Linked DNA regions of Oryctolagus cuniculus. The protein of the gene in region 1 purifies or fractionates together with the protein of each later gene. This does not show direct contact. Links are inferred from orthologs where the notes say so. Each region holds a gene or a part of one and is shown on either strand. Other genes may lie near its edges.

Region 1 (4,089 bases):
GTGCATGCCGTCTCTCTCCTCCTTTATAGTCCTCCTCCGCCAATCCCAACTCGGCTGCCCACACGCCGAGTACGCTGCTCTCCTCCAATCAGGAGCAAGTCCTACAGTTTATTGGCTGAACTGGAGGCAGCTGTGCGGAAGCTGTTTACTTCTCTCCCAGCGCCATATTGTGGGAGAGCAGATGCATAGAATAAGTCTTAATTCCAGTAACTCAGTCTAGTCCGGTTTGCTCCCCACACTGAGGGTCTGCAGAAGGAAGAGGGACAAGTGCAGAGGCTGGGCTCTGAAAGCCTCACTAATGCTGAGGGAGGGGAGAGAAGAGGAGGAGGGAAGAAGAGGAGAGGAGAGGAGAGGAGAGGAGAGGAGAGGAGAGGAGAGGAGAGAGGAGAGGAGAGATCTTCTGCCAGAGATCTTCTACCTGCTTTTTCACTCCTCAAATGCTCACGACAGTCAGGGCTGGGCCAAGAACTGCATCCGAGTCTCCCAGGTGGGTGGCAGGGATTCAAGTACTTGAACCATCACCTTGCTACCTCCCAGGGCATGCATTAACAGGAAGCTGGATTGAAAGTGCACTAGCTGGGACTAGAATCAGGCACTCTGTGGGCCCTCTGATATGGGAGGTGGGCTTAACCTGCTGTAGCACAATGCCAGCCTCAGGAGAGTCCTCATTTAGTTGGCAGGAGCCACGGATCTGGCTCCAGTTCACAGACTTAGTGCATATTACTAAGGGGGGAATCACTCCTTTCGAGCCTTGGTTTAGCTATTGCAGGCGCGTTTTAGTAGTAATGGTAATAAAGGACCACTAAGTGCGAGCTTGGAGTGGAGTCTGACCCCTTGTATCGGAGGGAGGAACCATTTGTTTCAAACTACGTGTGCAAACAACTAGGATTCCACAGGTAGGATTTTTCTAAAGTGAATCAGCATCTTAGTATATGGGTGGGAGCCTTTTGGAGACACAGATCCAAAGAGTCATCATTCTAGAAAAGCAAATACCGCCTCAGGAACTCTGAAGTTCCCATAGGAACTGTATTCCCATCTCCCGCTTAAACTAACGGACCACAGTCAGTTTTTGCCCTCAACAAAGATGGCACCTGCGGGCTCCTGCGGGAATGCCCTCATAAAAAATGGCAGCTCCTTCTCTTTCGTTAGTTTTATGGGCTAAAGCGCCGACGTTCTGCCCTTAGTTAAGATGGCGCCCATTGCCGCTTCCCTGCCCTGCCTCTCGCCGCCGCAGGTTGGCTTCACAGCGCGCGTCCGTGGCCCCGCCTTGTTTCCGCAGGAAGAAGCGCCGGGAAATATGGCGGCCGCTGTGGTTTGAATTCCAGCGGCGCCGCGGGAGTCAGAACAAGAGCTGGGTTGGAAGGGGGGCGGGGACCGGGGGAGACGGGCGGGTCGCCACAGCGGGGGCAACCAGTGGCGCCGCCCCCACAGGCACCAGCGCCACCATCGCCTTTTCATCCGCTATGGACTCGGTGTTGGAAGAGGACGTCAGCCTCCCTGGGACGCTCAGCGGCTGCAGGTGCGGCCCGGGCACAGTGAGGGGGTTCGCGGTCATCAGGCTGGGCTCTCCGCTGATGGGGCCCTGGGGTTTGCTCTTGCGGGTGTTGGAGTGTTTGGTCCCGGGCAGTGTGTGTGTATGCCTGCCTACTTCAGGTTATTTTACGGAGGGAGGCTTTGCGTTGATCGTGTGGGGGTCCCCACTGGCCCCACACTCGCTTCTGTTGTTTTGGGGCGCTCTTGGAAGAGGAGGTGAAAGCCGGGTTAAGGGGCTTTCTGAAAGAGCAGGCCGAGGGGGACCACTTGGAGTATGCTAGTAGTTGGGGGCTGGTTGTGGGACGGGGGTCTTGAGGGTGTTTGATGGCTCACCCTGGGCACGGGTTTGCTTTCATCGTGGGGGAGGTAGTGCCAGCGCCCAGACTTTTCTTATTAAGGTCACAGAGTCGCGACGGAGGATGGAAGCAGTGAAGTACAGTGTTTAAGTTCCTTGGCTGGAGTTAGAACTGGATTCAAATTCAGACTTATAAAGTAGTCATCTGGTGGCCTTGGTAAAGTGACTGAATCTGATTTCCCATCTGCACAGTGGGCCGGTGTTAATATCCACGCAGCAGAATGGGGTGAAGATTGAAAGAGGCAGTTCACTGGGCAAGTGTAGTTAGTGCCTGGCATACAATGAGTGCTGAAAAAATGCTCTAGTGTTGCCATTGTCCTTACTATGATCAGTAGTGATGGAGATTGAGGACTAATGGCTGAGAGTGGCCTTCCAAGTCCCCATTGCTGGTGGGGCTGGGGTCTCTGTGGCAGGAGGTTCTGCTTGGGTCCTAGACTGCTCTGGGCTGGGTCTCGGGTTGTACCTGGGTCCTGATGGGAGAGTAGATGGAAGGAAGGGGAGGAGAGTCCTGACGGAACCCACACTGCTTACCTAGTTTTCCTAGGGACAGGCTGCTGCTTTTGCTCAACAGATTCTTAGTGAATGAAATTGTTATTTAATGTGTAAACTGGATGCTTTTAAGAGTAACTTGGGCACAGTCAGTATGTGTGCCTGAACAGCAAGGTAGGAATCCAGCGGTGGTGTCCTGGGCAAATCTGGAAGATGCGTACTCTGTGTATCACGTACAAAGCTCTTTGCAGCTTTTGCCTAATCAGATCTTTGTGGAAGTTCATTATGTCCCTTCTCTTCATCTTAACCACCACTACTACCACTGCCTCTCACCTGTACTGTTCTGGCTTCCTTTAACCACCAGCAGTTGTTAATACTACAGCTTGAAAACTCTATTTTTTTTTTTTAGAATATGGCTAGCTTTTTAAAAAATTATTTAAGGTATACAAATTTCATGTATTCCTATATGCAGATTCAGGAACATACTAATACTTCCTCCCCGACCTTTCCTCCTGCCCACACTCCCACCCTTCTTCCTCCTCCCTCTCTTATTCCTATTCTTAATTTTTACAAATATCTGTTTTCCGTTAACTTTGTACTCATAAGATTAACCCTAAACTAAGTGAAGAGTTCAACAAATAGTATGAAGAAAAAAAGCACTGTTCCTCAACAGTAAAGGCCTGTAAACAAATATCAAGTTTCAAAATGTCAATTTTACTTCTATAGATTACCTTTTAGGTACTCTATTAGTTATATAGATCAGGGAAAACATGATATTTGTCACTTTGGGACTGGCTTATTTCACTAACTATAATGGTTTCCAGTGGCATCCATTTTGTTGCAAATGAAAGGACTTCATTTTTTTAACTGCTGTATAGTATTCTATAGTATATATATAGAATAATTTCTTTATCCAGTCTTTAGTTGATGGGCATCTGAGTTGATTCTGTATCTTAGCTGTTGTGAAATAAGTTGCAATAAACATGAGGGTACAGATCACTCTTTGATACGCAGATTTCATTTCATTTGAGAAAATTCCTGGGAGTGGATGGCTGGGTCATATGGCAGGTCTGTATTTAGATTTCTGAGGTATCTCCATCCTAGCACAGTGGCTGCATTGAAATACATCCTCATCAGCAGTGAGCTGGGTTTCCATTTTCCCCACATCCTTGCCAGCATTTATTGTTTGTTGATTTCTTATGAGGGCCATTCTAACTGGGGGTGAGGTGAAACCTCATGTGGTTTTGATTTGCATTTCCCTGATGGCTAGTGATCCCGAGCATTTTCTCATGTGTCTGTTGGCCGTTTGTATTATCTCTTGAAAAATGCCTGTTCAAGTCCTTTGCCCATTTCTTAACTGGATTGGAAAACTATTAAATATAAATCTGATCCCCACAGTCTGCTGCTAAGTACTTTGAACACTTTTTATTGCCATGAGGATAAAGCCCATTACTCTCTCAGCTGGCGCCACTCTCATCTCAGTGCTGGTTGACCAAATACTTGGCTTTGGGACCCAGACCTAGCTCAGTTTGAATCCCAGTTCTGCTACTTTACCCTGTGACCTTGATAAGTCACTCATCCTCTTTTAACTTCAATTTTCATCATCTATAAAATGGGTTTGTGCTAAGCCCAGGATTAGCATAAGGATTAAAATGAGTTTACTCAACAGAATAGCAAATACTCTCCTTTCCCTCCTCTCCCTGCCTTTGCAG
Region 2 (3,623 bases), on another chromosome or scaffold:
GCATCCCATATTGTAGCAATTTTCTTCTCAGAACACATTTTTAAATCCATGGGCCATAAAAGGGTAAGAAGTTAAGCTAAACCAAAAAGCACAAACTTCCTGTCCAGGCACCTTTTACAGTTAAAGACTTATTATAACACAAGTTATAATCATACACCTAAAAGGCACACCAGAAATTGTGGTCTGTATAGAGCAAGTAAAATCTAGATAAGAAAGAAAGGGAGAGGCCGGCGCTGTGGCGTAACAGGTAAAAGTCGCCGCCTGTAGTGCCAGCATCCCATATGGGCACCAGTTTGAGTCCCAGCTCCTCCACTTGCAATCCAGCTCTCTGCTATGGCCTAGGAAAGCAGTAGAAGATGGCCCAAGTCCTTGGGCCCCTGCCCCCATGTGGGAGACCTGGAAGAAGCTCCTGGCTCCTGGCTTCGGATTGGCGCGGGTCTAGCCGTTTGCGGCCAATTGAGGAGTGAACCAGAAGATGGAAGACCTCTTTCTCTCTCTGCCCCTCCTTTCTCTGTGTAACTCTGTCTTTCAAGTAAATAAATAAAGGAAGGATGGAAGGAAGGGATGGAGGGACGGAAGCCTATACCTTTAAGTGAAATATTCCCTAGAGCACTAGGAGTCCACAGAATTCATCTCCCACGTCCTATCCAGGTTAACAGGCTCAAGCTAGAGCCAGCACAATCTCAGAAAATCCAGGTGATCTCCAAGGGCATAGAATTCATCATACCTTGTTGGTGGCCTCTGTTTGTTGGATTTTTTCTTGGAGTTCTGCCAAGTGGGAATCAGGTACAGATTGCTGAGTTGTAGTGGTCTCATTTGAATTCACCTTTTGTTGTTTGAGTAACTCTTCAGACATGGGCTAAGAAGAAGTAGTGAGACAAGTTGAATTAAATGAAGCCAACAATAAATGCTATCTTCATATTCAAATGTGTGAGGCATCTTTTGCCAGAGACCTGGAAGATTGGAGCTGTTGTGTGAAATAGCTACATGGTTTCCTGAAGACAGTCCTGTTCCTTATTAGAGCAACAACTCTGGTGCCAGCCTTGTGGTTATGCAATGCTGGCATCCCATATAAGCACTGGTTGTTCACAGCTCCCTGCTGATGTGCCTCGGAAAGCAGCAGAAAATGGTCCAAGTACTTGAGCCCCTGCCTCCCATGTGGGAAACCTGATGGAGTTCAAGGCTCCCAGCTTCAGCCTGGCCCAGCCCCAGCTGTTGCAGCCATTTGGGGAGTAAACTAGCAGATGGAAAATCTGTCTGTCTCTCCCAGGATCTCTCTCTATATATAAATATAAACCTCTGCCTTTCAAATAAATACATCTTTGGGAAAAAATAGTGTTAAAAAAAAAAAAAGAGCACCAATTCCATTCCATCCTTACTATGCCCTGTCCCTCCCCTTCCCTCCCTGCCCTTCCCTACCCACCCATACAAATATACGTATTCACTCAGCAAATACTTCAGTGTTTAAAGAGAAGGGAGGGAGTTACAAAAGAAAATGCTTACAATAGTCAAATATTTGCTTTATCCATTTTGCATCAGGGAATCGGAAAGACTAAGCAAACACATCATTCCTAAGAGAGGAAGTATAATATTCCAATTAACCTTTCTTAAAACATGCCTGTTCACATTACTGGAAAAAAATGGCAGATTTTGAATATGGACTCTGTATTAGACAATAGTATTTTACTAGTACTAATATCCTCAGTTTGGTGATTTCATTGCAGTTGTGTAAGAGATATCCTTGTCCTTAGGAAATACATGTTTAAGTATTTAGGGTAAAGGCTATTATTATAGCTGCAACTAATTCCCAAATGGTTCCAAGATTTTAAAAAATAATAGCAACATGCCTAAACAAAAAGAGCGGGATAAAGCAATCGTGGCAAAATATTAGCTACTGGTAAACCTAGTAAGGGTGGTTCTTTGTATTTCTCTTGCAACCTCCCTGTATACCTGAATCATTCCAAAATAGAAAGGAAAAAGACTTAAATGTAAAACATATGCCTATTTAAAGATAGATTTATAGCACATGTCTGGATAAATAATCCACAGCGGTCAGGGAAGGTGGGGCTTTTTATAAGAATATCAATTCACTAAGACAATCAGACTAAGATAAACTTATTGAACTTAATAATCATCATAAGCCAAGGATATTAAAATAAAATTTAAGGAACTCACTGTGGCATTAAATTTCACCTCCTCTCGCCATACCTTCTTCCACTCCAATCAGCAATCCAATTAGGAAAGGGGGGGGGGGGACAGCTGCTATTCATTTTTTCTTTTACACTTTCACCCTTTATCATCTTCCAGACAGGGGAATCACAAGATATCTTAAAACTCTTCCTGCAAGCAAGTGACTGGAAATACAGAGTTTAGAAGAAAAATATTTCCTATTCCTCTAGTACTACTTATGAAACTTCCTAGCATCAATAACTGCTGTAACATGTGCAGCACCATGTGAGAAATTCAGTGTTGACTAACACATAGCCCTGGCTCCAAACCATCTCAGTCTACTGAGGAAGTAGTAATATCATGAAAATAGAGAAGAAAAACACTCATTTCAAAAGAAGTATAGGAAAGGCTTCTTGGGGGACACAAAATTTAATCTGGAGAGGATCTTTACAGGAGGCTATGGTGGATGAGGAAAGCCATTCTAAGAAGAGAAAAGAGAGAGGAAAATGTAGGGCTAGTGCATACAAAACACTGACTTCCAAACGATACCATTACCTAGAAATGGAGTACTGTATTGGAGCAACCAAGTCCCTGTTCCCTTGAAACTTATATTTTCAGGGGTTGGAATGGGGAGCTATATAATAAAGAAATATACAAAATAGCAGACAGTGACAAACCCCTCTAGCAAAACAGGAAAGCAGGACAGAGAGTTGGCAGCCAGGTGATTAAATTAGTCAGGGAAGGTCTCTGTGAGGCAGCATTTAAATAGAGATCTGAATGAAAAGGAGCCAGTCCTACAGAAGATCAGCAGAGCGTGAGTCTGGGAAAGAGGATGGCCCATGTGGCTAGGGTGGTGCTTTCCAACAGAAACATAATGTGAGCCACATATGGAACTTTTAACTTTCTAATCATTTCATTGGAGAAAGTAAAAAAAAAAAAAAAAAAAGAACTTAAAAAATAAATTTAATACTTTAACCCAATATATACAAAATATCATAAGCATGGAATCAATATAAACATTGTTTAGATATTTTACATAATTTTTTCAGACGAAGACTTTAAAATTCGAGGCACGTTTGACACGGCATATCTTGATTCAGACTAGCTGTATTTCCAGTGTTCTATGGCCACCTAAGGATAGTGGCTAGCTTATGGACAGCACAGGACCAGAGAACAATGGGCAAAGAAAAGTGTAATACCATGAGGTGTATAGGTAGACAGCACCCAGGTCACATGTGGCTTTGGACAGCAGAGTTAATGAACTCGGATTTCATTCTAATTGAATTGAGAGTGGGCTACGGTGTGCATAACAGAAGAGTAATCATAATCAGATGTTCAAAAGATCATTCTTCTTGGCTTAGTGGTGAATGGATTGCTGGGGAGCACCAGTAGAAATGCAGAGAAGGGCAAGGAGGCTGCTGCAGTCACACAAGTGAGGGATAACAGGGCTAGGA
Region 3 (4,350 bases), on another chromosome or scaffold:
GAGCCTGCCTGGCAGCAGGCAGTGATTGATTACGGCATAAACCACCCCTTAACCGGATTGGCTGCCTCAGCTATATAAGCTGCTGCACCAACTGAAATAGACGAGTCTGCAGGCTGCTGGTCTCTGGCCCGCTTTCACCTGACTCCCTCCTGGTGTCTGTGTCATGATTCCGTGCCTCTTGCCCACAACATTCTCCTCCTCTCAGAATGAATCCACAGCAACACAGCAGGCTTGGCCTCAGGGAATCCATGGGAGCACCACAGCAAGGTCTTAAAATTTTTTAAAGAAGTAAAATTCCAGGCTGGCGCCGCAGCTCACTAGGCTAATCCTCCGCCTTGCGGTGCCAGCACACCGGGTTCTAGTCCTGGTCGGGGCACCGGATCCTGTCCCGGCTGCCCCTCTTCCAGGCCAGCTCTCTGCTGTGGCCCGGGAGTGCAGTGGAGGATGGCCCAAGTCCTTGGGCCCTGCACCCCACGGGAGACCAGGAGAAGCACCTGGCTCCTGCCATCGGATCAGCGGAGTGCGCCGGCCGCGGCGGCCATTGGAGGGTGAACCAACGGCAAAGGAAGACCTTTCTCTCTGTCTCTCTCTCTCTCACTGTCCACTCTGCCTGTCAAAAAAGTAAAAAAAAAAAAAAAAAAAAAAAAAAAAAAAAAAAAAGAAGTAAAATTCCACATTTGTAGGGAGACTATCACAAGTTTTACATGCTGGTGACAATTAATCTTTTATGAATAAGGCAGGCCAGACACATCATGACTGAGCCAAATTCTGCCCTCAAAATTCTATTCCAAGTTCTGTAAATTTGTATTTTCCAGCTCATCCTAGCAAAGACCTAAACCAACACCCACCCTGTTGCACAGAGCAGGGACACTCAAGATTCAAGGCAACTCACTTATAATCCACACGAGAAACCATCCCAGGGAGATTCCACCTAAGGGCAGATCTGGAGAGCCAGGGGAGCCATGAGAGACAGTACCTGCAGCACCCTCAACAGCCACTCACCTGCTGCACCTGCCCCCAGGGGCTCACCCAGGCTGCTCACAAGGCCTTAGCCAGCCAGTCAGCCAGCCTCCTCCAGAAATACCGCATTTCTATGACACCTACAACTCTTCCCATCTCATCACCTTCAGTAAGAAGGTAAAGGACAAAGATAACAGGCCGGTACATATGAGAGTAGATGAAGAAGTACTCTAAGTGTCCAAAGAAACTCATGTTAAAGGGGTTGATACACACACCACATATGACAACCTCCCACGCAACCGCAACACACCAAACACAAGTCACACTTATAAAACTTGCCCTAACTAAAACAACCACTGAAATTAACACTATCTTATTTAGGTATCAATTCAAAATTTCTTAAATTCATATAATAAAGACAAAATACTTAAAAACAGTAAAACCATTATTAAAATTTACTCACCTTTTGTAAACTAAAACAAACTCTCTTTCCCACCTTTGAAAGGGAAAAGCAGACCAAAGTCTACTTTTGGTAAGTTACACTAGCAATGACAAAAAGAGCAAACTGTGAAAACACAACGCTGAGGAAACCTACCTCAGCCGCAAACGCCCCTGTCGCCCCGTCAGGGGTTTCGCAGCATGTGTTGTACACGTCCCTCACTCCAAAGAGTCCACTGTCCTCAGCGGCTACCGGGCTCTCCTCCTGGACAGGCGCATGGACAGCCGAGCCCTTCCTCTTCGCCGTCTTTTTCTTCGAATGCGCACAGTCACCTTTTGTTTTTCTCTGTCGGAAGTGAGCAAGCTGCGCAAGAACGTGGAGAAGTAGTAAAGGCAAAGGTAAGTGAGAAAAAAATAACAGAACCACAAAGTCAACAGACTCGAGGGGAACATGAGGCTCTAGCGCTGACTCGGTCCACGCAGCCACACCTGGCCAATAAGATCACTCTCCCACAAACGCTGCCTTCATTAGTATCTACGACTCCAGCATTAAGTTCAGAATTATCTAAAAAGAGTCTAGTAATGAGGACATTGAGGATGCCTATATCCAGGCAAAAGAAACAATAGAGCTGACTGGCAGAATCGCTTTTCTGACCCTTAGCGGTTTAGGAGAAAATTAGGATTTTTAACCTTAACTCTATTTAAAGGCCGGATAGACTAATCAAGGCATGTTTTAGGTTCAAAATTACAAAAAGCTAAATCGCTCCCTTCTTGCCCTTTTCCCCCAACCGAGGAAATATATATTCCAGCCAAAACTTCCTAGCCATAGAATCTGAGACAAGCTACCAAAATAGCAAAAAATTAATTAAGCCAGGTCAATCTAACATCTTCCTTTACGGAATCAGATGTTCCATTTTTCATGACACAGCTCACCAAAGCACCAGGGACCTCCACAGAATGTCGTCCGTCAGAAGATACAGCCTAGCTCTGCTCAGCCCCTCAACTCTGAGAGCTTTCCTACGTGGTCACCCCCCGCCTCACGCAAAGGGCATGAGGTCCAACAACAGGGGGCCCGTGTTCCTCGCATGGTAACTTGGACCGTAAGTGCACATTTCATGGACACCGGGTCATTTACTTTTGGAAAAAACCACATCAAGGCTGAACACTGCCTCCAAAGCCAACCCCAGCTTTATTCCCCACGTGCCCTCCCTCACTTTCTGAAGCACGGACGCGGCCCCGCCACAGGCCTTGGACTCATGACTTCCCAGGCTCCTAGGAGCACGCTGGCTCTCCTTGCGGACCTCGGGGAACACATGCGGAAGCTCTGGGCTCCGGCTCATTTTCGCATCCTGGCGAGCAGCCTGCCTCAGGCCGTCCGGACACCCCGCCAAAGGAAGCCAAGTGAGGATCCGGTTCTGCGGTCCCTGTCACTGCCCCGCACCGAGAGAACCAGCCCCGAACGCTTCCTCAGGCGGGTCCCGCTCACGCAGGTGACACCCGCACGGAGAGCGCCAATGTGCGCCGGGCCAGGCCCCAGGCTGACCCAGGTAAAAACCCGCGAGTGGGCGGAGCGCCCGGGGCCGCACGCGCCGCTCACAAGGCCAAAGGCGCGCAGCGCCCCGGAGAACGCCATCACGTCTCCCGGGAAACGGGGCGGGGTCGGCAGAACACCAGAGCGCAGGCGCAGCCCCGCCTCGCCCCGCCTACCCGCCAGGCGCTCCCGTCCCGGCCGCGGATTGGCTACAGCCGCAGTGGGGGCGGGCCCGCGCAGAGGGCGGCGGATTCAAGATGGCGGCGGTCAGGAGAAAACTTCCAGTGGAGACGGCGGGAAAGGCAAGGCCTGGCGGTGGCTCCACGCCTAACCGCGTCCGCTCCTGGCAGAGGGCGGCGGCAAGCACCGGAGCCTGCCCCGGAGACTTCACGCTGGGGCAGCGGGAGGAGAGGCGTGCTGCCGTTTACCTTCGCTCTCCCAGCCTCCACCTTTCGGCGCCGCTGCTCTTGCTCATCCTCTTCCATCTCCCTCTTGGAGTCTTCACGAGTCGCCCGGAGCTGGCGGTGTAGACACGGCGCCGACTTCGCTCTATTGACACTCCCTCCCCCGCGCCAGGGCTCGCCCTCCCCCAGCGACAACTGTCACGCACTGTGGGCCCGCCCCGCCGTCGGCCCGCCCCGCTGCGTCGCCAATGAGGACCCCGCGTTCCCGCTTTCGCGCACGCGCAGTCAAGGAGGAGCGGCCCGGGGGAGGCTCCGCCCCTGCTGCTCGCCGGGCTGCGATTGGTGCGCTGACGTGCCTGCCCCTTCTGAGAGGACCGCTCAGCTGTTGGTTAGGTTTAAAATGGGCGGGTTTGTGCCGCTGCGGGTGTGTGAGGTGCGGCGCTCCCCGGCTGCGGGCCTGACGCGCCGTGCGGTCGCTTCCGGGTGGCCGATTTCTCCGCTCTGAGGTGAGGCTGGCCCTGGCAGCGGATCCAGGCTGGGTCGCGTGCGGACCGTCTGAGGGGTCGAGGCTGCAGGAAGTCGGACTGCCTGCCACGGGCGGGCAGAGCCTCTTGGAGCCGTCGCTGGTCCGGGTCGGTCCCACAGGCCAGACCTTTGTGTGGAGAGCGTTCCTCAGTTGTCGGAGCTCCTCTGGAAGCTGAGGCAGACCCCGAAGGCGCCCGCCGCTGGGAGGGGTTAGGGGTGCTCCCACGCCCTCCCCCGCTGTCCACCTGCGGGCTGCCCCTCGAGGGTCACAGGGGCCCCTTCCCCGGAGAAAGCCAGGCAGCGAGAGGATGACCAGAAACAGAGCGGCCGGGACTCGAACTGGGAGCGATACGGGATGCTGGCAGTGTAGACAGCGGCTTAACCCACTGCGCCATAGCGCCAGCCCTGAGGATGCAGTTTTACATGGTACGAAATTGGATCAACAGAGGCCTCATTTGATGAAAAAGTCTCTTAAGTAGAAATGGATTAAAA

The links.
Region 2: the proteins of CDK5RAP2 (region 1) and PDE4DIP purify together in Homo sapiens (affinity purification with mass spectrometry; 3 studies listed by BioGRID and IntAct, counting the BioPlex papers as one, with this or other methods). This does not show direct contact. The link is inferred for Oryctolagus cuniculus from reciprocal best matches to the Homo sapiens genes CDK5RAP2 and PDE4DIP.
Region 3: the proteins of CDK5RAP2 (region 1) and PCNT purify together in Homo sapiens (co-immunoprecipitation; 4 studies listed by BioGRID and IntAct, with this or other methods). This does not show direct contact. The link is inferred for Oryctolagus cuniculus from reciprocal best matches to the Homo sapiens genes CDK5RAP2 and PCNT.

What each region holds. Positions count from the first base shown.
Region 1 is NC_091432.1:224,487,720-224,491,808, reverse strand, and holds the start of CDK5RAP2 (CDK5 regulatory subunit-associated protein 2), read left to right. Parts: upstream 1-1,274; 5' UTR 1,275-1,463; coding exon 1,464-1,519; intron 1,520-4,089. UniProt on the Homo sapiens protein: Potential regulator of CDK5 activity via its interaction with CDK5R1. Negative regulator of centriole disengagement (licensing) which maintains centriole engagement and cohesion. Involved in regulation of mitotic spindle orientation.
Region 2 is NC_091438.1:50,619,482-50,623,104, reverse strand, and holds part of PDE4DIP (myomegalin), read right to left. Parts: intron 1,567-3,623; exon of another isoform or gene 1,504-1,566; intron 860-1,503; coding exon 728-859; intron 1-727. UniProt on the Homo sapiens protein: Functions as an anchor sequestering components of the cAMP-dependent pathway to Golgi and/or centrosomes.
Region 3 is NC_091435.1:550,360-554,709, forward strand, and holds the start of PCNT (pericentrin), read right to left. Parts: upstream 2,831-4,350; 5' UTR 2,739-2,830; coding exon 2,613-2,738; intron 1,763-2,612; coding exon 1,556-1,762; intron 1-1,555. UniProt on the Homo sapiens protein: Integral component of the filamentous matrix of the centrosome involved in the initial establishment of organized microtubule arrays in both mitosis and meiosis. Plays a role, together with DISC1, in the microtubule network formation.